Elephas maximus indicus: one gene and its partner. The protein of the gene in region 1 binds, or shares a complex with, the protein of each later gene. Links are inferred from orthologs where the notes say so. Each region holds a gene or a part of one and is shown on either strand. Other genes may lie near its edges.

What was found.
Region 2: the proteins of SART3 (region 1) and USP15 are in contact, whole or in part, in a crystal structure (PDB 5JJW), measured with the Homo sapiens proteins. The link is inferred for Elephas maximus indicus from reciprocal best matches to the Homo sapiens genes SART3 and USP15. Residues at the interface, in NP_055521.1 of Homo sapiens: Ser438, Ser439, Lys440, Glu443, Gln490, Arg493, Glu494, Trp496, Asp497, Met500, Thr501, Ala505, Trp511, Tyr514, Arg533, Cys537; in NP_001239007.1 of Homo sapiens: Ser23, Leu24, Asp48, Trp50, Gly121, Met122, Phe123, Val124, Lys125, His126, Lys128.

The regions. Positions count from the first base shown.
Region 1 is NC_064840.1:19,107,463-19,118,412, forward strand, and holds the start of SART3 (squamous cell carcinoma antigen recognized by T-cells 3), read right to left. Parts: upstream 5,455-10,950; 5' UTR 5,444-5,454; coding exon 5,117-5,443; intron 171-5,116; coding exon 44-170; intron 1-43. Other genes in the region: iron-sulfur cluster assembly enzyme ISCU, read left to right, coding at 7,250-7,363, 9,093-9,206, 10,654-10,764. UniProt on the Homo sapiens protein: U6 snRNP-binding protein that functions as a recycling factor of the splicing machinery. Promotes the initial reassembly of U4 and U6 snRNPs following their ejection from the spliceosome during its maturation.
Region 2 is NC_064822.1:122,510,592-122,521,543, forward strand, and holds the start of USP15 (ubiquitin carboxyl-terminal hydrolase 15), read left to right. Parts: upstream 1-6,057; 5' UTR 6,058-6,114; coding exon 6,115-6,203; intron 6,204-10,952. UniProt on the Homo sapiens protein: Hydrolase that removes conjugated ubiquitin from target proteins and regulates various pathways such as the TGF-beta receptor signaling, NF-kappa-B and RNF41/NRDP1-PRKN pathways.

The DNA of each region.
Region 1 (10,950 bases):
TCCTCAATTCTGTGTTTAGAAAAGCAGATAGCTGACACGTTACCTTCAGTCAAAGGAAAGATCTCGCTCATCTTCTGGCGAGCCATTCTCACTTTGGTGAGCTCCCCTTCCAGTCGGAGCAGCCTGATCAGGTCCACGTGGCAGTTGTAGTCATAGACATTGATGGACAGCTAGAAGGAAAAAAAAAAAAAGAGTTGAAATTTAAATGCCATCATTAAAGTAAATTAGCCTCTGTCACCACTGGGTGACGATGCACGCACCTTTCACAAACAAAATAAACACAGTATCTGGGAGAGCCACTGAAACAGCAGCACAACAATTACCCTCAGCAAGAAGAAGACAAAACGATGATTTACAAAAAAACCAAAACTATTGTCGTTGACTCAATTCCAATTCATAGTGACCCTACAGAACAGAGCAGAACTGTTCCAAAGGGTTTCCAAGGAGTGGCTGGTGGATTCAAACTGCCAACCTTTTGGTTAGCAAACAGCCATGGCTCCTAACCACTGTACCACCAGGGCTCCAAAAGGATGATAAAAGCAGCTTTTTATAATAAGCATAAAAAAAAAAACCCCAGTGCCGTCGAGTCACAAGGCTCCCTCAAATCTGTTATGATTCCGATGATGGCACGCTTGGCTTCTCTCTAAAATAAAGAAGGCATTCTAATGAAACAAACAAAAAGTGTGTGACCTTTGCCAAATTATTAACTTTTCTAAGCCTCCATTTTCTCATCTACAAAATGGGAATATTACTAGTTCCCAGTGCATGAGTTTTCTGTGAGGATTAAAAAGGGTAATTTTGTAAGCTGCTTATTAGCACAATGCCGGGGGCATAGCAAGAACTCTCTCATTTTATTAAACAAACAAATGAGATGAAAACTACTGCAGAAACAAGAAAGGCACAAGGTTGGTATCTGTTGAAGCTGAGTGATAAGTCTACAAAAGCTTGTTTTTATGTTTCAAACTTTTCAAAATAAATATTATAATCAGTTAAAATAATTTTTTAAAAAGCTAACTGTACCAAGGATGAACCCTGAAAGCATCATGCTGAGTGAAATAAGTCAGTCACAAAAGGGCGCATACAGTTATGATGCCACTTATATGAAATATCAAGAATAACCAAGTGTCTAGAAACCAAAGTTTATCAGTAGCTACCAAGGGTGGGAGGAAGGAAGGCGGAAAAAGGGACGAAATGCTTAGGGAACACCGAGCTCTGTTAAGGGCGATGGTGTAACCTGGGGACACATTAAGGGCGATGGTTGAACAAAATAAGGAACATAACGGCACTGAACTGCACACGTGAAGACTGTTGCAAAGTCAAATGTTTTGTTACATGTATATTTATTTACTCCACACACAAAAAGCAATTACATACCTGAAACAGAAAACTAGCAGACTTCTTAAAGAACAGCTAAAAGAAATGATAAAATAAGAAACCGTCAAGCACTAGGAAAGGAGGAGGATCAATGGAAAGAGATGAAATATGAGTAAGCACAAAAGATGACCATAAGGAATAACTAAAGCAAAAATTATAAGATCATCTGATACGCAGACAATGATATTTAAAAATGGGGAAGGTAAAGGGATCCAAAGCCAAGTTGGGTTTCTGTACCTCACTCGAAGTGGTTGACGCCAGCAGATTGTGGTAAGTGAAATATATATACTGTAACACCCAAAAAACTATACAAAGTAAAAACTTCAGAGGTACTATAAATGAATCAAGATGGAAGCCTAAAAAATGTTGACATAATGCACAGGAAGGCAAGAAAAGAAAAAAAGAATGAGAAACAGGGGAAATAAATAGAAAACAAATAAAATGGTTTAAGGCCTGACATTTGGATATTACCTGAAATGTAGATGGTCTAAACACACTAATTAAAAGGCAGAGAACGGTAAAGTGGATAAAAAACATGACCCAACTACACGCTAATCAGAAGAAACTCACTTCGAATCCAACGATATAGGTAGGTTGAAAAAAAGCATAGAAAAAGATACACCAAGCAAATACTAATCCAAAAAAAGCAGAAACGGCTATATTAATATTACATAGAGTGGACTTCAGAGCAAAGAAAATTACTAGAGACAAAAAGAAACCTTACATAATAATAAAAGGATCAACTCACCAAAAAGACCCATCGATCCTAAACATGTATGCGCCAACCAAAAAAAAACCAATGGCGACCGTACACAACAGAGCCACAGAGCTTCAAAATACATGAAGCAAAAACCGACAGAGCTGAGAGGAGAAATAAACACACTCACAATCATATCTGAAGACTTCGACACCCTCCTCTCAGCAAGCGATTCCAGCACCAACTGCCACCGAGCTGACTGCAATCCATGGCAACCCCACGTGTGTCAGGGTAGAACTCTGCTCCACGGGATTTTCAATGACTGATTTTTTGGAAGTAGCTCGCCAGGGCTTTCCCCCAAGGCCCCTCTGGGTGGACTCCAACCTCCCACGTTTTAGTTAGCGGCCAAGCACATTGACTGTTTACACCACCCAGGGACTCCTGGCAACTGACACAACTACTATAAAGGAAACCATCGAGGACACAGGAGAGCTCAACAATATCATCGACCGACAGGACCTAACTGACACACACACAACACCTCAGCCAACGGTAGCACAACATACCTTCTCAAGTCTCCACGGAACATTTACCCTCTCTTGGGCCGAAACAGAAACCTCAACAAATCTAAAAAAACTGAAATCATACAGAGTATGCTTTCTGACCACAAGAGAATCAAACTAGGTATCAATTGCAAAGCCAACAGAAAAACCTCTAAACATTTGGAATTAAGAATACACTTCTAAACAATATGGATCAAACACGAAGTCTCAAAGAAATGTTTTTTAAAAAATATTTAGAACTGAATGGACATGAAAACAGAACACAGCAAGACAAGTGGGATGCAACTAAAGCAGCGCTGAGACGGAAATTTATAGACTTAAATGCTCATTCTAGGAAAGAGGGGAGGTCTCAATCAATAATCTAGGTTCCTGCATCGAGAAACTAGAAAAGAACAAAACAATCCTAAACAAGCAAAAAGAAGGAAATAAACACATGTGGATGTGTTCCGAGCTTCCAAAAATGGCAGGGCCAGGTTTCCACAGGCCTGTTGGAAAGTTACTTATCGTTACGCTCCATCATAAGGACAGTTACAGCAGGAACTACAGACTGCGGGGTTAGGAGGAGGTTAGGAAGGAGGTCTGGAAAAATTGGAAAAGTCAATTTCTAGACCTCAGGACAAAGAGGATAAGGCCAGAAGTCCTTCAGCTCACCATCGCTTGCCAGGTCCCATCCTATGTGGTCACCTTCTGAGCTCTATCCCACCCATCCTCGGTGACCCGAGGCAGGACAGGCAATTGTATAGTAGCCAGGAGACCTTCATGCCGACCTCCATCCTGTCGCCTCCTTCTCCTTAGTAAGTAAACTATGTACTTTCATTAAGGACTTCATCTCTCTGGTTCCAAGCCTCCTCTTCCTACTAAAACAGATGATTCTAGTTTCCCTACCTCATAAAACATTAAGGTCAAAGTGAGCTAATGGCTCATCAAAAGACCTAAGGCTAGAAATATGAAGAACTGATTTCCATACAGACAGGGACACAGTCAGTCTGGCAGGTATCACACCGTACTTGCTGAATGAATAAAAGACTGAATGAACTTCAGCATACTTACTTATAAAAGAAAAATGGTAACCACCTGTCTATCCCAACTGGTTCCTTCAAAAATCAGATTCTATGACAAATGCAACAAGTTATACCAACGCATGACGTTATCTCATAACTTAAAAACAGTGCCAGCAGGACATGCAACGTGGCATCTGGTCCACAGGCAACCTTTAAGAGTTCAAATCCCACTGTGAGTGACTCTAGGCAAATCATTTCATCTTTTGTTCTGAGCCTCTTTCCTTTCCTCATCTGTAAAATGAGAATGTGCTCAATCTCTTCAGTTTGCCCCTCCAACTCCACACCACCCTCCTCTCCCCTCCCTGCCCTGTGCCTTCCTGTGTGATCCACATCAACTGGGCTCTCTGGCCTTCAGTTGGGTTTGCTCAGTGGGAGACTAGCAGAGATCTGGAGGAAGTGAGGGAGATAAAAAGAGTTTTTCTTCTTCCACTTGCTTCCTTCCCCTACTGGGAAACCGCTGGCTGCACCCTTTGACCAAAGGTCTCAGCTCCTCTCAGATGCCAACCCCACACAACTATTCACACTACTTCAGGCCTAAAGGTGGACACCAAGTCCTGTTGTTACCAACTGTGGAATACTAAACCTTTGCTTCTTACTTGCCTTTACAAACACAGTAGTCCCTTTATGAACCTTTTCTTAAATTATCCTAATTTGAATGCACCATCTATTTCCTGCTGGGATCCTGGCTTATCCAAAAGATACCACCACCTACATCTCACAAGGTTGTTTTACACATTAGAGGTCATGTTCCTCGTGGGTGCTAGGCACAGGGCTAACATTACTGTTATGACCATTTTATGATGCAAGAACACTGCTCTTAATTTACAAATGAGAAAGCAAAGGATCAGAGAATTTAGGAAATTCGCCCAAGCACATACAGGTGTGGAACAGCTACAACGGGGGTTTGAGCCTCCAACTGAGTAGCCTCTATCTTTCCATTCCTATTTTCATCGTCGGATCAATATTTATTCGACTACAACATATTTCATCATCGTCGTCATTCCTACAGACAAATAGTGCTCTTACAATTAAAATTTACTTTACTGCTAGATGTAGTTTAACTGTGTGGTTAGTGGGAGTCCTGGAGTCGGTTCGAAGCTCAAAGCCTGACTCGCTACTTGCAGAACGTGTAATCTTGAGCCAGAGACTCCCCTCCACGAGCCTCAGTGTCCTCCCACGAAACGGGGACAACGCTACTGCCTTCACTGGTTCGCTGCGAGTATTCAATGGAATAATGCTTGCAAAGCGCTGGGCACGCAGCGAGCGCTCAAATAATGGAAATTGCAATGTTAAGTAACGGTTCTGCGGCCTTGGAGGCTTTACTGCCGCTGAGGATCAGGGCAGCATCTCTGCTCCAAGGGGCAGAGGAGCGGGCTAGGGCCTGGAGGCGGAGGGAGCCCGCTGCCCACCCCGGCGCCCACCTGCTCCTCCAGCCGCTCGATCTCCAGCTGGTTTTTCTCCTCCTCTTCGTCGTACTCCCACTCGTACTCCCCCGGGGAGCTCTCCGCTGAAGAAGCCATGGCGTACTCTTCATCTCCATCGCTCTCACTCACGCCTTCCTCCTGCGGATCCCACGCTGGCCCCACCGTCTTGTACGACGCAGCAGCCACAGCCCGCGATAACACCTTCCTCCTCGTCCTGGTTTCCTTAAGCTCATCCTCGTCTCCCTCGGCCTTGGGCCCAACTTTGGGCGCAGTCTTGGGCTCAGCCTCCGGCTCTGAAGCGGAGGATGCAGCTGCCGTCGCCATCTTGAGTCTCCAGTGACTTGGGTCCTTCGTTCCGCCGCCGAAGACTGGCTGAAGTACAAGCTGCCCGCGGCGCACGCCTGATCAAAACCCCGCCCTCTGGCCACCGAATGGGAAACTGCGAGCTTCGGATGATGGGAAAATCTCTAAATACACGCCATTCATATTAACTTTACATATTTGTAAAAGATCCTGTCAGAAAAACAATTCTTTAACATGGCATATATTCCGCCACAACTTCGGACAGAAGTTGGGTCTTTGGGCAGGAAGTGGAGGGCATAGAGGAAGTCATGAAATGAGCGTGATGACTGTAGTTAAGGTTTTGACGCCATTTTGAGAAGGTCAAAGGGACTCCTCGAATATATGCATTAATGCCTCTTGTGACCTGGCGCGTGGTTCAGTCACCTCAGCAACCGAGACACAAACGTAGTGAAAACTCCAAGTCCTTGGAGAAGGATCGATTGCGCTATTTATGAGAAAAATTCATTTCCCAAAGAGATTCCTCTCATTATGTAAGGACTGGTGCCTAATCCAAAACCAAGCCCTTTACCGAGTGGATTCTGACTCACAGCGACCCTAGAGGACAGAATAGAACTGCCCCATAAAGTTCCCGAAGAACACCTGGTGGATTCGAACTGCAGACCTTATGGTTAGCAGCCATAGATAGCACTTAGCCACTACACCACCAGGGTTTCCGGCTGGCACCTGATAGGACCGGTGCCTAGTAGGTGTTAAACGCACACATGAGTTTTCCGGTTTTATAAGATATTCTGCAAATCAATATGAATTATTTCCTAAGCATTTATTTAGAAACTCTTAACTGTCAAGTATTACCATATAAATTTTGATAGTTTACTGTTGTATAGAGAGAAATAGATAAAGAATATTTTTAAATAGGTATATACTTTTTTAATTCAGGGCATGGTGTTCATTTCCTCCTTAAACTCCCATTTTTGAGCTAGGAAACTATTGTTTCTTTATTGCCTTTCTCCCTCGTTAGTAAGCTTAGTTGGGACAGAAATTACATTTGTTTTGCTTTTCGTTGGCTCGCCAGAGACTAGTATAACGCCTTGACAAGTAGGAGGTGCTCAATACATATTTGCTGAATGGGCGAAACAATTTTATTTGAATTAATGCAAAAAAAAAAAAAAAAAAGAGACGCTTAGAGAGCTGATGTCATTCGTCTAGGGTGACAACCAAAAACCAAAAAAACCAGACCCAGTGCCGTCGAGTCGATTCTGACTCATAGGGACCCTATAAGACAGAGCAGAACCGAAGAGCGCCTGGTGGATTCGAACTGCCGGCCCTTTGATTAGCATCCGTAGCACTTAACCACTACGCCACCAGGGTTTCCAGGGTGACAACCAGGAAGGGGCAAAATCAGGACTCTAACCCAGGGTTGTTCGAATCCCAATTGTACCTAACTCTAAGCGACCTCAGACAAGTTATTAAACCGCTCGAACCTCAGCGTCCTTAGCTGCAAAAAAGGATGAGAGAGCGGACTGGGTGACCTTGTGTGCTGCATTAAGTCGGGTCCCTCACCCCAGCTTTAGGTCCTTTCCCATCCAGAACGCAGCACCTAGGACTCGCTTTCGTGGTACTTGGACCTTCCCGCTCCCAGCCCCGCCAGCCCCCGGAGAGGTGTGGTCAAGGTGGGGACAAAGCACGAACCGCACGGGGCCGAAGGGCGCAGGCGCGAAGGCGCGGTGACGTAAGAGGGGGCGCGCCCTAAGCGAAGCCCGTCGCTCGCTGCAGGGCGAGCCACGCCCCCGGCCTCGCTCTTGGCTGGCGCAGGCGCGACCCCGCAAGATGGCGGCGGCTGGAGCGGGTCGGCTGCGCCGGGCGGCGTCGGCCCTGCTGCTCCGGAGTCCTCGCCTGCCACCCCGGGAGCTGTCGGCCCCGGCCCGGCTTTATCACAAGAAGGTAGGGGCAAGCATAGGGTGCGCGGGGGACGAACGGGCGAGGATCGCCGAGGAGACGAAGGTGTCCGGAGGCGTGGGGGAGGATCGGGTTGGGGCCGGCGACCGGGGGACTGCGCGGCCTGGAGCTTCCTGCAGCCCGAGGTCCGGGGATCCCCCGGCCCTGGGTGGAGGGACTGTCTCCTCCCACACCTTTGCCTCAACTAACTTTCTCTCGTTTCGCAATGGAAATAAAAGTAATAGCCGCTGCTTGTCGAGTGGCGACTTCCAAAGGGCCTTACTGCTCGTTGCTATTTTGTGCGTCACAGCCCTTAAACTTCCCTAACAGGACTCTTCTGAGTTCTTGGACCTGTTATGACTTGTCAGCCTGACGCTAGGGCACGAGCTCCTCTTCAGCCAGGCCACTGCCCTGGCTAAGTGACCTTGGGCAAGTCACTGCCCCTCGCTGGACCTCATTCTTTTCATTTGTAAGTTGGGAATCTTAGCAGTCCCTTCCTACAAGAGAGAATGCGTGTAGAGTTCTCTGCATGGTACCTGGCACATAGGCCCAACACACGGAGACCATCGATGATGCTGCTGCTATTAGTATTTTAATAAAATGATCTCAAGCGCTATGGCGGACCTCACAGCGATGACCAAGATCTATCTGCTTGTGGAGCCCATAGCCTCGTAGTGGAGTCAGGCACATGACCAACAATCAGTCACAATGTCCTTGTCTTTGTTTTTTTCTGTTGGGGGGTGGTGTGCGTGCGTAGATTGCAGCCCTTGCCTTCTGGAAGCTTAACGTCCCCTAAAGATGAGACTCTTCTGCTCGGGAAACAACTAAAGATCGCTGGAAATCAACATGGGGCAGAAGTCCAGAGTGGATTTTATCTTGTGGGTCCTTGGGCTTAGAGTCAAAATCAGTGGTTGTATAGGCAAAGGGGAGGAGACTGGAAGATCAGGATAGTTACTGCTGTGCTAGCTGGGAAACAAGCCTCAAGATTACTAAAGCCTACTGTGTCGGACTGAATGGGTATTTATACTGTTCTGGCTTCACCACGTTTGTCAAGGGCTAGGGCACTCTCCTAGACCCAGGGAGAGGTTTTGTTGACAGCCCATGGTGACTGAACTTGGGCTAGCAGCCTTTCAGCCACTAGGGCGCGCTGCTGAACCAGTGTTATTTCAGGGCCATGAAATACAGTAATGAGACTTTATTTTTTAAAAAATCGTACATAGATGGCCACATTCCATAGCATTCTTCTTTCGACAAGAGTCATCTTGAACCTTCTGGGAATGCTTTCGTAATTATTTTAAGAATTTGTTTATAGTAACCTTTTTTTTTTTTAGATCATTATCTTTTGAAAATTGACTTTATTTGGAAATAATAGAAATGCTGTGTGAGCCCAAGTCTCGTGACTTGGTTTGTGACTAAAAACCTCCTGGGACTAAGACATAATTTAGCTGATTTTTCTCCAGGATCTCAAACAGTGTCTGAAGGTAGTTGGAGAGGAGATACAAAAAGGTTTTGGATAACAAATGGTTCTCACTGACACGAATGTAGGCCTTTCTCCCCAGGTGACTCTTGGTGTTTGCTGATTGCCTGCCAGCTTCCGGTTGCAGGCCCTATGCCAGGCTCAGAGAACATGGGCTGGTAAGATTCGGTCACTGACTTGGAGGAGCTGACAGTCAAGTTGAGGGGACCGGTACCAAAAAGAGAGTGGTCTTGATTTCTCTTACCCTTCTCATTTCAGGTTGTTGATCATTATGAAAATCCTAGAAATGTGGGGTCCCTCGACAAGACGTCTAAAAATGTCGGAACTGGACTGGTAGGGGCTCCAGCTTGTGGTGATGTAATGAAATTACAGGTAGGACGGGTTTTCTTCGTCTCTCACGGTGGTAGCAGTAACCCCTTTGAAGATAGCACCAAACCAAACCCAGTGCCGTCCAGTCGATTCCGACTCATGGCGACCCTACAGGACAGAGTAGAACCGCCCCATAGAGTTTCCGAGGAGCGCCTGGTGGATTCAAACTGCCGACCCTTTGGTTAGCAGCCATAGCACTTAACCACTACGCCCCCAGGGTTTCTGAAGGTAGCACAGGACCGGGCAATACTTCATTCTCTTATACATAAGGTGGCCATGAGTTTGACCCCACTGCACAGCAACTGACAACAACAGCAACTTTGCTTATATGGTGCTGCGGAGTTTACAAAGCATTTGCACGTACAGCGTTTTGTGTGGTCGCCATCTTTATTCCTATGAGGCGGGATGAGTCCATGTTAAATAATTAGTAGAAAAAAAAATTTTTTTTTCTACTAATTATTAAAAAAAAAAAATTATTAGCAGGGACTAAATCCTAGTTCTCCTGCTGTTACACTCTGCCCAGCCTTTCTGAAATAGTGATCTCACAGCTCTGCTCCCTGTATCAGCTCGAATTTCATCTTCTGCTAAGTAAAAAGTGTTGTAAATTTTACTGATCGAAGGAAAACCACAACTGTTTAGCTAGCAAACTTCAGTAAGACAAGAAACACAATAAATCAAATCTCTCCCCAAACTGGAGGCAAAATGAAGGTAGTGGCTGGCGCACTGGGTAAACTATAGCCTTATCCACAATGTTCTTCATCATGGGGTGTGGGCAGCCTCCCAGAGGTTTCCATGCTTATCTTGGGAAACAGAAACAAGGCAGGAAGGACCCACTAAATGCAGTTTGTGCCAAAGGAAAAAGCATTAACCAGAGAGCTCTATTGCATGCCCTCCTGCGTTTAAGGAGGCAGATTGGCCCTGACGCCATAAACAGACTTCCTCAAATAGAACTGCATAGCCAAAAAGCAGACTACCTGTACCATACCATAGCATACCCATTGGCGTCAAGTCAATTCCAACTCATAGCCACCCTATAGGACAGAGTAGAACTGCCCCGTAGAGTTTCTAAGGAGCAGCTGGTGGATTTGAACTGCTGTGACCTTTTGGTTAGCAGCCGAGCTCTTAAGCAGTGTGCCACCAGAGCTTTTAAAAAAAAGAAAAAAAGCAGCCTAGGATTGGGGGAAAAAAAAAGGGCGGGAGGCATGTATTTTTCAGCAGATCTTTACCAGCTAGACCTGTAGAGCTGTGGTATAATTTTCTACATTTAACTTCTCATCACTGAGCTCTTTGAAATAAAGCAAGCTCAGCAATTAAATGCCAAAAATTAAAGTGTAGAAAGCAAGACCAAAGCTCTTGCGGAGAGCCCCGGTAAGCCCCATGTGAGTCCCAGCTTCGTAGGTTTGGAAGGACAGCACCGGGATTCGCTGCCTAGCTCTTGTCTCTCTTGTAGATCCAAGTGGATGAAAAGGGGAAGATTGTGGACGCCAGGTTTAAAACATTTGGCTGTGGTTCTGCGATCGCCTCCAGCTCATTAGCCACTGAGTGGGTGAAAGGGAAAACGGTAAGGTCGCTCGCAGGTTTCGCAGAATTAACTCACAGTCTCCAGACACTTGGCTGTCATCGAAGGGTCAAGTGAAACAAAAAATTCTAATTTTTTTTTTTTTTCTTAGTTTCTTCTACCCAGAATTTGGTTAAATTCACCACCGTATTGAGTTTATGGATCGTTTTGTTAAGTGTTTTTTTTTTA
Region 2 (10,952 bases), on another chromosome or scaffold:
CACTGTATTCATTTCACTACTTTTTATCTCTCTTTATCAGAACCCAACATTTGTCTAAATAAGGAGCCTCTGTATTTTTTTTTTAACTGCATTGTGGCACTTAAAGTTTTTATTCATATCCCACGTTTCAAAATATCATTAACAGGTTAAGCACTTTACTACATGCTGTCTCAGTGTTTGTACTTCTCACCGACCTTTCCGCTGCCATTTAGCTGTTCAGACAGCTGGTGAAGGGAAAAAGGAATTATAAAATTTAAAAAAGTAAAGAATGAAGGGTTTAGGGAGGTGAATAAGAATGGGGCGGTGGGGCGGTGGGGGGGGGGCGGGGGGGAGGATACCAGAGGAAATAATTGTAGAGGAAGGATGAGGGAAGAAGGAAAAAGTGGGACATTGGTTCCCGAAGCCCAAATGTAGGAGGAGTTGAGTAATAAAGGCAGCCAGGTCATCATCTATCGTTGTTTTTTCAGGGGATGTGTTGATTCTGTATATGCATGTGATTTGCTAAGTCCACTCAGACTATAAGCAGATTTTTCTTTAGGCTCTTGTAGCCAGCTCCATACAAAATCATGAAGTAGGCAAAGTTTGTCTTGGAATTTTCCTTGGTGCTTTCTTCCATTCAGCCCTAAAAACACAGAATTTTTTCTTCTTTCTGTGGTCCACCCCAGGCCAAAAAGGGGCTCCCATTTATGTTAACTAAGTCAAAGCCTTACTCTTTCCTGGACTATTTACCGTTGAAATCCCATCTCCAATTACTGAATACAAGATCCTCTCTTAAATGGTCTGTTTAAGTATCTGTGAACAGAGACTTATTTGGGAAGGTAAGGAATCTTCCCTAGAGAATCTCTGATTTTAAAACCTACTCTGCCTTTATGTAAAGTCCACCTTATTCGTATCAAGTCTAATTTCTAAGGTACTCCTTTTTTTTTTTTTTCCTCAAAGCCTTCAACTAAGTTTTAAACAGACAAGGAAGGTGCAAAGGGTCTAAGAAGGCAATATAATCACCAAGAAAGACGGACATTCTTATGAAGTTAATTAAGGAAAGCATCAATAAAGACATGTAATCTAAAAAATCAGATGTAACCCTGGTTTATACGTAGTAGCCTATGTGAATCAAGGTAAAGTAGCTTTTCTCATAAACAGTCTACTTAGCTATTCAGAAAGATATGGACCTTAACTAATTTAGTATTTACAAACATTATCTTATTTTTCTTCATAATTATCTTTGAGAGTAGAAGAACTATAAACAAAGTAGAATTTTTATAAATTAGTAAACTGGGGTCACTAAAAAGTTGACTGCTATAAACGAGATAGTAAAGATCAGTAGAAAAATACAAACTTACCCAATCTTTCTAGATTCTTGAGTGCAACTGCTTGGGTTCAAATTTGCATTCTGCCACTTGCTTTAATTCCTCATATATACAACGCAGATAATAATACTCCTTAGAGTTGCTCTGAGGATTAATACTTGTATTTAGGATGATGCTTGACACTCAATAAACAAACCAAAACAAACTAATGTCTTTGATCCAGTTGTGACCCATAGGGACGCCATGTGCATCAGAGTAGAACTGCACTCTATAGGGTTTTAATGGTTGATTTTTTGCCTCTGGGTCGACTTGAACCTCCAACTTTTTAGTTGGTAGCGGAGTGCATTAACCATTTTCACCACCCAGGGACTCCAAGATGGGTATTATTATCCCAAAGTCTATGATTCAACTAAGAGTTAAGTGCTTTGCAGCCAGAGGCTGAAATGAGGTTTGAACTCAGATTCCTGTGATTCCAAAGAAGTCTTTCCAAACCATGTTGCTTCTCTTGAAAAATTCTTTGTTCTCATTCAGAGGTTGGGTAGAAAAGGGGAAAATTGTGGCCCTTTGAAGGTACCCATGGTTAGAGAAACTCTATTTTTTCAGTCTGTCAGAAGCCAAATAATATACGAAATAGCATTGATGGGAAGCTGTTATCAGACTCTCAAATCAAGGATGATGTAATTGTGAAACAGGATTATTACACAGAAAGTAAGCAATCAATGCTGATATAAACAAACCATGTCAGTATACACTCCTTTCACTTGGAATTGTTCAGCACTGGTTGCTGGCATAGCAACATCCATCTTTACTGCATTCCAACCAGATGAGTTTTCACTGGCTAATACTTTTCAGAAAGACTGCCAGGTCCTCCTTCCTAGTCTGTCTTAGTCTGTAAGCTCAGCTGAAACCTGTCCTCCATGGGTGACCCTGCTGGTATCCAAATACCGGTGGCATAGTTTCCAGCATCACAGCAACACACAAGCCCCCACAGTACGACAAGCTGACAGACACGTGGGGGGGGGGGGGTGGCGACTATACACATGGACCTCGCCAGATGGAGCATACAGAAATCAAATTGACTACATCTGTGGAAAGAGACAATGGAAAAGCTCAATATCATCAGTCAGAACAAGGCAAGGGGCCACTGTGGAACAGACCATCAATTGCTCATATGCAAGTTCAAGCTGAAACTGAAGAAAATCGGAGCAAGTCCACGAGAGCCAAAGTATGACCTTGGGTATATCCCACCTGAATTTAGAGACCATCTGAAGAATAGATTTGACGCGTTGAACACTGGTGACCGAAGACCAGATGAGTTGTGGAATGACATCATACATGAAGAAAGCAAGAGGTCATTGAAAAGACAGGAAAGAAAGAAAAGACCAAGAGGGATGTCGGAGGAGACTCTGAAACTTGCTTTGAAATGTCGAACAGCTAAAGCAAAAGGAAGACTTGATGAAGTAAAAGAACTGAACAGAAGATATCAAAGGGCAGCTCGAGAAGACAAAGTAAAATATTATAATGACATGTGCAAAGAGCTGGAGATGGAAAACCAAAAGGGAAGGACACGCTTGGTGTTTCTCAAGCTGAAAGAACTGAAGAAAAAATGCAGGACTTGAGTTGCAATAGTGAAGGATTCTATGGGGAAAATATTAAACAACCCAGGAAGCATCAAAAGAAGATGGAAGGAAGACACAGAGTCATTATACCAAAAAGAATTAGTCAATGTTCAACCATTTCAAGAGGTAGCATATGATCAGGAATCAATGGTACTGAAGGAAGAAGTACAAGCTGCTCTGAAGGCATTGGTGAAAAACAAGGCTCCAGGAATTGATGGAGTATCAATTGAGATGTTTCAACAAACAGATGCAGCACTGGAGGTACTCACTCATCCATGCCAAGAAATGTGGAAGAGAGCTTCCTGGCCAACTGACTGGAAAAGATCTATATTTATGCCTATTCCCAAGAAAGGTGATCCAACTGAATGTGGAAATTATAGAACAATATCATTAATAACATATGGAAGCAAAATTTTGCTGAAGATCACTCAAAAACAGCTGCAGCAGTATATAGATAGGGAACTGCCAGAAATTCAGGTGGGTTTCAGAAGAGAATGTGGAACCAGGGATATCATTGCTGATGTCATATGGATCCTGGCTGAAAGCAGAGAATACCAGAAGGATGTTTACCTGTGTTTTATTGACTATGCAAAGGCATTCGACTGTGTGGATCATAACAAATTATGGATAACATTGGGAAGAATGGGAATTCCAGAACACTTAATTGTGCTCATGAGGAATCTTTACATAGATCAAGAGGTAGTTGTTCAGACAGAACAAGGGGATACTGATTGGTTTAAAATCAGGAAAGGTGTGCATCAGGGTTGTATTCTTTCACCATACCTATTCAACCTGTATGCTGAGCAAATAATCCTAGAAGCTGGACTATATGAAGAAGAACGGGGCATCAGGATTGGAGGAAGACTCATTAACAACCTGCGTTATGCAGATGACACAACCTTGCTTGCTGAAAGTGAAGAAGACTTGAAGTACTTGCTAATGAAGATCAAAGACCACAGCCTTCAGTATGAATTGTACCTCAACATAAAGAAAACAAAACTCCTCACAACTGGACCAATGAGCAACATCATGATAAACGGAGAAAAGATTGAAATTGCAAGGATTTCATTTTACTTGGATCCACAATCAACAGCCATGGAAGCAGCAGTCAAGACATCAAAAGATGCATTGCATTGGGTAAATCTGCTACAAAGGACCTCTTTAAAGTATTGAAGAGTAAAGATGTCACCCTGAAGACTAAGGTGCACCTGACCCAAGCCACGGTATTTTCAATCACATCATACACATGTGAAAGCTGGATAATGAATAAGGAAGACAGAAGAAGAATTGATGGTTTTGAATTGTGGTGTTGGTGAAGAGTATTGAATATACCATGGACTGCCAAAAGAACGAACAAATCTGTCTTAGAAGAAGTACAACCAGAATGCTCCTTAGAAGCAAGGATGGCAAGACTGCATCTTACGTACTTTGGACATGTTGTCAGGCGGGATCAGTCTCTGGAGAAGGACATCATGCTTGGCAAAGTACAGGGTCAGTGGAAAAGAGGAAGACCCTCAACAAGGTGGATGGATACAGTGGCTCCAACAATGGGCTCAAGCATAATGATTGTGGGGATGGCGCAGGACCAGGCAGTGTTTCATTCTGTCGTGCACAGGGTCGCGATGAGTCGGAACTGACTCGACGGCACCTAACGACACCACCACCACCACCAGATGAGTTAGAAAACCAAAAACAAAGCCATTACCCTCCAGTGGATTCCTACTCATAGTGACCTTACAGTGGTTAAAACCAAAACCAAACCCATTACCATGGAGTTGATTCCAACTCATAGTGACCCTACAGGACAGAGTAGAACTGTCCCGTAGAGTTTCCAAGGAGTGCCTTGGAACTGCCAACCTTTTGGTTAGCAGCCCTAGGTCTTAACCACTATGGCTACCAGGGTTTCCACATAGTGGTTAGAGTAGGCATTAAAAATGGGAAAACAAGAGAGCATAGGGATGTTTTCCCATCTTTTAGACTTTTCACATCATTTTGCGTTGTCTTAACACCAAGTCTCTGGAACCTTTACTCTTTGAAATACTTAAGCAGTTTTGACAAAATTAATTAATTAAATAAATATTTAGATGGCTTTTATATGTTAGGAAACACTGTGCTAGCCACTAGGCATACAGAGGTAAAAAAGATGGACTCAGTTCCAACTCTTGTGGCGTTCCCATTTTAGTTCAGGCTTTCAATTACAAGAGGTAGTGAGTATGCTACATTTAAAAGCACATGGGCTTTGGACCCTAGGTTATAAACTTGTCTCTCCACTTACTAGCTGTGTGACCTTAGGTAAGACCCTTGATTTTTTGAGACTCAATTTCCTCATTTTTAGCATAATTGTAGCTTCAACTAATACTCAACTGCAATTACCATCCAGTTACATTTCAGGTGTACGTACCATGGGAAGATAATGGGAAAGGACTTTCCTTCCTTTTAGTACCTGGTATTTTTTTTATTACTCAATACATATTTTATTACTCAATACATATTTTACGCCCTGTTCACCGAGGAACTGGGACACGCTTTTCACTGCACTTTAGCTGTCTGGGTGTGCCCGGGGAGCCGTCACAAAGAGCCTATAAAAGGTCCCCACCTACACCAGCAGTAAGAGGGCTCTAGGAAGTCCACGATGAGCACTGCGTCCAAGCGTTCGGTTTCGGATTGTACTTTGGGCCAACACTCACCGAGCCTGGGTACCGCGACTCGCAATGAAAAGACAAGAGTCACACACTCGCTAAAATTTTCTGCCATATCTTAACCGTCCCCACGCCCCTCGTCCCCACCCCACCCTCAACAGTGAGCGAATGCGCAAATAAGGGTTTTCAGGCGTCTGTGGGAAAGAGGGAGGGGAAGGCAGAAGTCAAGCACAGACCGGGCCGTGGCATCGCTCAAGAGAGTGAGCGCCCGGCTCCCCACCGAGGAAAACCGGGGTCCGGCCCGGAGGAGGCCGCGGCCGGCACGAGATGCTGGAGAGGCGGGGGCCGATGGGGGGGAGCAGACCACGGTCACGCAACCAGTCCGCCCCGGGGACTTCCTCTTGTCCCGGGTGCATCGCTCCCACCCCCGGCCCTTTTGGTTTCGACCTGGCGGCTGGGAGGGGCCGCAGGACGCCATTCCCACAATGCTCTGGGGCGTGCCGCCGCCGCCGTCGCTGCCGCCGCCTCCGCTACCGCTAGTGGAAGAAGATGGCGGAAGGTGGAGCGGCGGATTTGGACACCCAGCGGTCTGACATCGCGACGCTACTCAAAACCTCGCTCCGGAAAGGGGACACTTGGTGAGAGAAGGAGGTTGAGGTGCCCGCGGTTTCCCGGGGATGGTGGGTAACTGGGCGGGAACTGCGGACTGGTGTCTTTCGCTAGTGACAGGTGCGGGTAGGTCCGGCGGCTGCCGCCCTGAGCAGCAGGATTTTGGCCGCTGCCGAAATTTGGGGGCAGAGGTTGGACTGGAGGTGAGGGTTAGGGTTCGTGGCCTGTTGGGGCGTGCTGAGAGATTTGTGGGGATCAGAGCGGCGGCTCATGCAGTTCTCTTCGTCCTCCTTCCTCCCATAGTGCCGCTCCCACCTCAGGCCTTTCCGAACCATAGGTTACAGTTGTTGGTTTTGAGTTCTTCAGTATGTTTGACAGGTCTGGGTCCCGCGGTTTGTTACGATCCCATCCGCTTTACTTCTCCAGTCATTTCCTTTCCGGGCATTGTCGGCATCCAAGTTGCCTCTTATTCTGATTCTCGCATTCTTCCGGGAGGCAGGCTGCAGGATGTTTGCGGTCCGTACTATACAGGTGGCATGTGTCAGGGCGCCAGTTAAGAGAAAGAAACCGTAGTTTGCAGTTCCTTGTCAAAAAGAGGGAGAGAAGTAGGGAACCTTAGGCTTTTGAGAGATACCACGTGGTCTTGTGCTTTAGTGGAGGCTTGATAAAAGCCGGCACCGTTTTTCTTGAAGTACAGCCCTTCTCTCCTGTTTCAGGGATAACATAAAACATAGGCCTGCAAAAAGTAGGTAAGTCTGTTTGCCGCTTAAGTAACTTGCTAGTTTGGAAACTTATAAAATACCAGAGGATATACACTTAAAATACTGAATGAAGTATGTGGAGATTTTAATTTTGATACTTGTCGGCCTTATCAGTTGATTTCCAGAATTAAATATGTGAATATGTGACATGAAGAGAAAGTACTCAGTTTATTAGGAGGGAAGGTGAAATCAAGTAGGCCTATTGTATGATTCGTGTGTAGTATTTAAAAATATTCCTGTATCACTTTACTGGAACAGCTAAGGAATATAATGTAGTTAGTGTAGCTTTTTATTATAAGAAAAAATTATTTCCACTTCCCACTGTCTCTGTAACTATGGTATGTAATTTACAAAGTGTTTTTTCAGATACTGTAATATAGCTTAATGGAAAGAGCATAGAATTTAGACCTGAGTTATGTCACAGTTGCAGTAATTAACTTGCAGTATAACTTTGGGGAAAGGTAATTTAAATTATTGCATTTCAGTATCTTCATCTATGAAATGGACAATAGTTTTTTTATAAGGGTTTTATCCTGATTCAATTAAATACTTAAAATAGATTTGATACTTAAGAAAAGTGTTAAATTTTAGTTGCCTTTTTATCTCCACCTTTTACTCCTAACAAAATGCTGTGATATTAGGGTTGGGACTTGAATTTAAATACTTTGATCTAAGTCCTGGTACTTTTTTCCTACTTTGTAGGCTGCGTACTGTGTTTATATGATAAAAATACCTGTGGGTGTCAACATATACTCGTTGCATTACAGCACAAAATATGACCTTTGAATAAATAATTGTTATTATTCACATTGGAGCATTCCTAACATGTTTATTTCTTTGGAGAAATTTGGCTACATATCCTAGGATAACCTGTATTTACTTTGGCCTGTGGGTTTTTAAAGATGAAATCAATCCTTGCTCTATTTGTTAAAGAACTTCTAAGAATTCTTAATTTATCTAGCCCATTACCCTGTGTAAAAACGTAAATGTGTATTTCCTTAAAATAGAAATATGTAAATTAAATTTTGGATTATTGTTTCTCTTTAGTCTTGTTATACTTTTGGTATACTGAGTAATCATTGGTATTGTTGGCCCTATAGGATGATAGGAGCTGTATCTATACTGTGGGCATTAAACTTTTTAAATCATGGTATTTTTCAAATAAATTTTTAATTCTGGTATTTTTCAAATAAATAATTTTTGCTTTTTGACAAAGTTATTGTAAATCATTTTAAAGAGTAAAATACAGGGGGTCCATAAGTTTGAGTCATTTGAATGTTTTCATTTTAAAGAAAACCGAAGCCCAGATATTTTAGGGAACAGCAGAAGGTACAAACTTTTATCTTCGCATTAATTTTTCTTCTCATTTAAAGGGAGGAAAATGAACTTGTATGAGCAAGGTGGTGCTGAGGAGTTGGAGAAATCTGTTTCGTTTATATGCGAGCCAGTTTGTTTTCCAAATTAGCCGATGAAACCTGTCTTGCTTCAAAATAGTGTAGTGTAAAAGTCTGATTGAGAGTTTGAAGGAGAATAGCTTGAGTAAAAATCCGACAGTGTATTTGTGAGCTCAGCACTGGTAAAGATACCTACAAATTTAGTTGTAACCTTTTAAGCTTTTTTTAACCTTAGTGTTAGTCTTTTCTGGGTGATTGGGTAAATCCTATCTGTTTTTATGTAGCTGAAATGGGCCATTTGTAAATGGAACATTGCCTTGGTGTATGAATATCACCATCTTTGAAAGATTGGGCTACTGAGAAAAAAATGGTAGATTTACCAGAAGTTTATTCTCAAAAGCTTAATTCAAATGTTTGAAGTTACAGTCAAATGAATTTTTAAAAATGTATTTCACAAGTTAGGCTGTGAGTGCTTTGTAGATAAGGGCTGTCTCATAGTAGTCTGGTAATTCTAACGCCTAGGCAGGTAATAAGATGTGTTTGGTTCTGGATGAATGCTAGAGTTTCTGTTTATTTGTAAACAATGAAAGATTTTTATCTGCAAACTGCTTACTTGTCTAGATGCAAAAATAAATAAGTCTGAAATGAAGAACAAACTTTATGATACATGTGGTACTAGACTTTAAAAAGTAAGTCATAGTTGATTAACAAGAGTAATACCTCTTAAAAGGTGAAGTAGAAAAGTGACACTGGTCTGCATCAGAAGGAGTAAAGATATAGTCTCATAATGTCATTTTTTATGTGCTTCAACTCCAAGGAGAGATTCAGAAAACTATAAACAACATTAAAAAATAGAATTTTGGACCTATATAGAAAAAATATATAAGGGAACTAAAATTGCCTTGCAAGGAGTGAAAGATAACTTCATCTTCAAGAACGTGGTTGTTTCTCCTGATAAGGCAGAAAGAAAATTTGTTTGTTACATTAAAAAAAAAAAAAAAAAAGCAACCTATTGCTGTCAAGCTGATTTCAGACTCATAGCTACCCTGTATGACCAAGTAGAATTGCCCCAAAGGGTTTCCAAAGTTGTAATCTTTACAGAAGCTGACTGCCACACCTTTTCTCCTGCAGAGCGGCTGTTGGGTTCAAACTGTTGACTTCTCGGTTAGCAGCCAAGCGCTAAACCATTGTGCCACCAAGGCCCCTCTTAAATTATATTACATGTAATTGCCTTAGAAATGGAGGAACCTATTTAAGGGTAGCTTTAGTTTTTTTTATGAGTCGGAATCCACCCAACAGCAACTAACAACAGAGTTCTATAAATGGAGTTCCTGGGTGCAGCAAATGGTTAACACATTCAGCTGCTAACTGAAAGTTTGGAGGTTTGAGTCTACCCACGGGCAGCTCAGAAGAAAGGCCTGGTGCTGTATTTCAAAAAAATTAGCCATTGAAAACCTTACGGAGTATGGCTCTACTCTGGCACACGTGGGTCTCCGTGAGTTGGAATCGACTGGAAGGCAAATGATTTTTGTAGTTAGATAAATGAGTTATAAGGAAAAGTTGTAAGTTGTGGCATGTTCTCTTTGGGTATTTCTTTTAAAATAGACCTTTTATGAGTAAATAAATAGGTAACTACAAATTATGAAAATCACTACTTCCTTTTCCCCATTTTTATTAAATGTTATTCATCTACCAGTCATTTTTGCTTATTTTTATGTGCAAGTATATTCAGTGGCAATGTGTAGCTAGCTTTATAAAGCAACTGAATCTAGCGTGTCAATTTTGTATAAACTAAGAACTTCAGTATTCTTAAGGTAAAATTGAAGAGTAACTTGTTTAGAGTCATTTAAAATGTATATGACACATTCGTTTCAGTAAATTGCCAAGGAAAATTCCATCTGATCAATTTGATTCTAGAAAAGAGACATTGATCTCAGTTTATGGAGTTTTCTATTATTCTTTTTCTTAGAAATATTTGAGGCTTTATTTGGTTCCTTATGTTAGTACAACTTTAATTGACACTAATAGAAAATAACCTTATAATCACAAATCAGCTAATAATCTAAAGGGACACTATTGATAATCATGATTGCCATCATGATTACCAACATGATTAGTATATACATAGTAATGAACTTTTTACATTACTGTTAAAGTTAATTTTAGTTATGCCAGGGAGTTTACCACAAAAATAGCCTAACACTGAGTATGTGTTATATCCATTTACAGAAAATGAAACTAGAAAGTGAAACTGTTTTTCAGTGTTGGTAAATTGGTGAAATAAGAGTGTATTTTTAACATTTTAATTGTTTAAAATCTAGAAAAACAATTTTAGGAAATTTTTTAATCAGTTCTGAGTTGTTAGTGAACCCAGGAATAATATAGCCTATTTGACCAAGAAAATCCTAACTTTATTTTTTCTTAATGATACCATTTTCCCATTAACACAAACAAGGTATTAAATAAATGGTCTTTTTAGAAAATGTTTTGTGACAGTTATTAATCTTGCTTGCACATAAGTATAATAAGAAAAAAAGATAGCTTGTCAGTCCATGACCTGTAACATTACTTGTACATTTAAAAACACTTGTATGCCAGGTGCTATTGTAAGCATTTTACATGT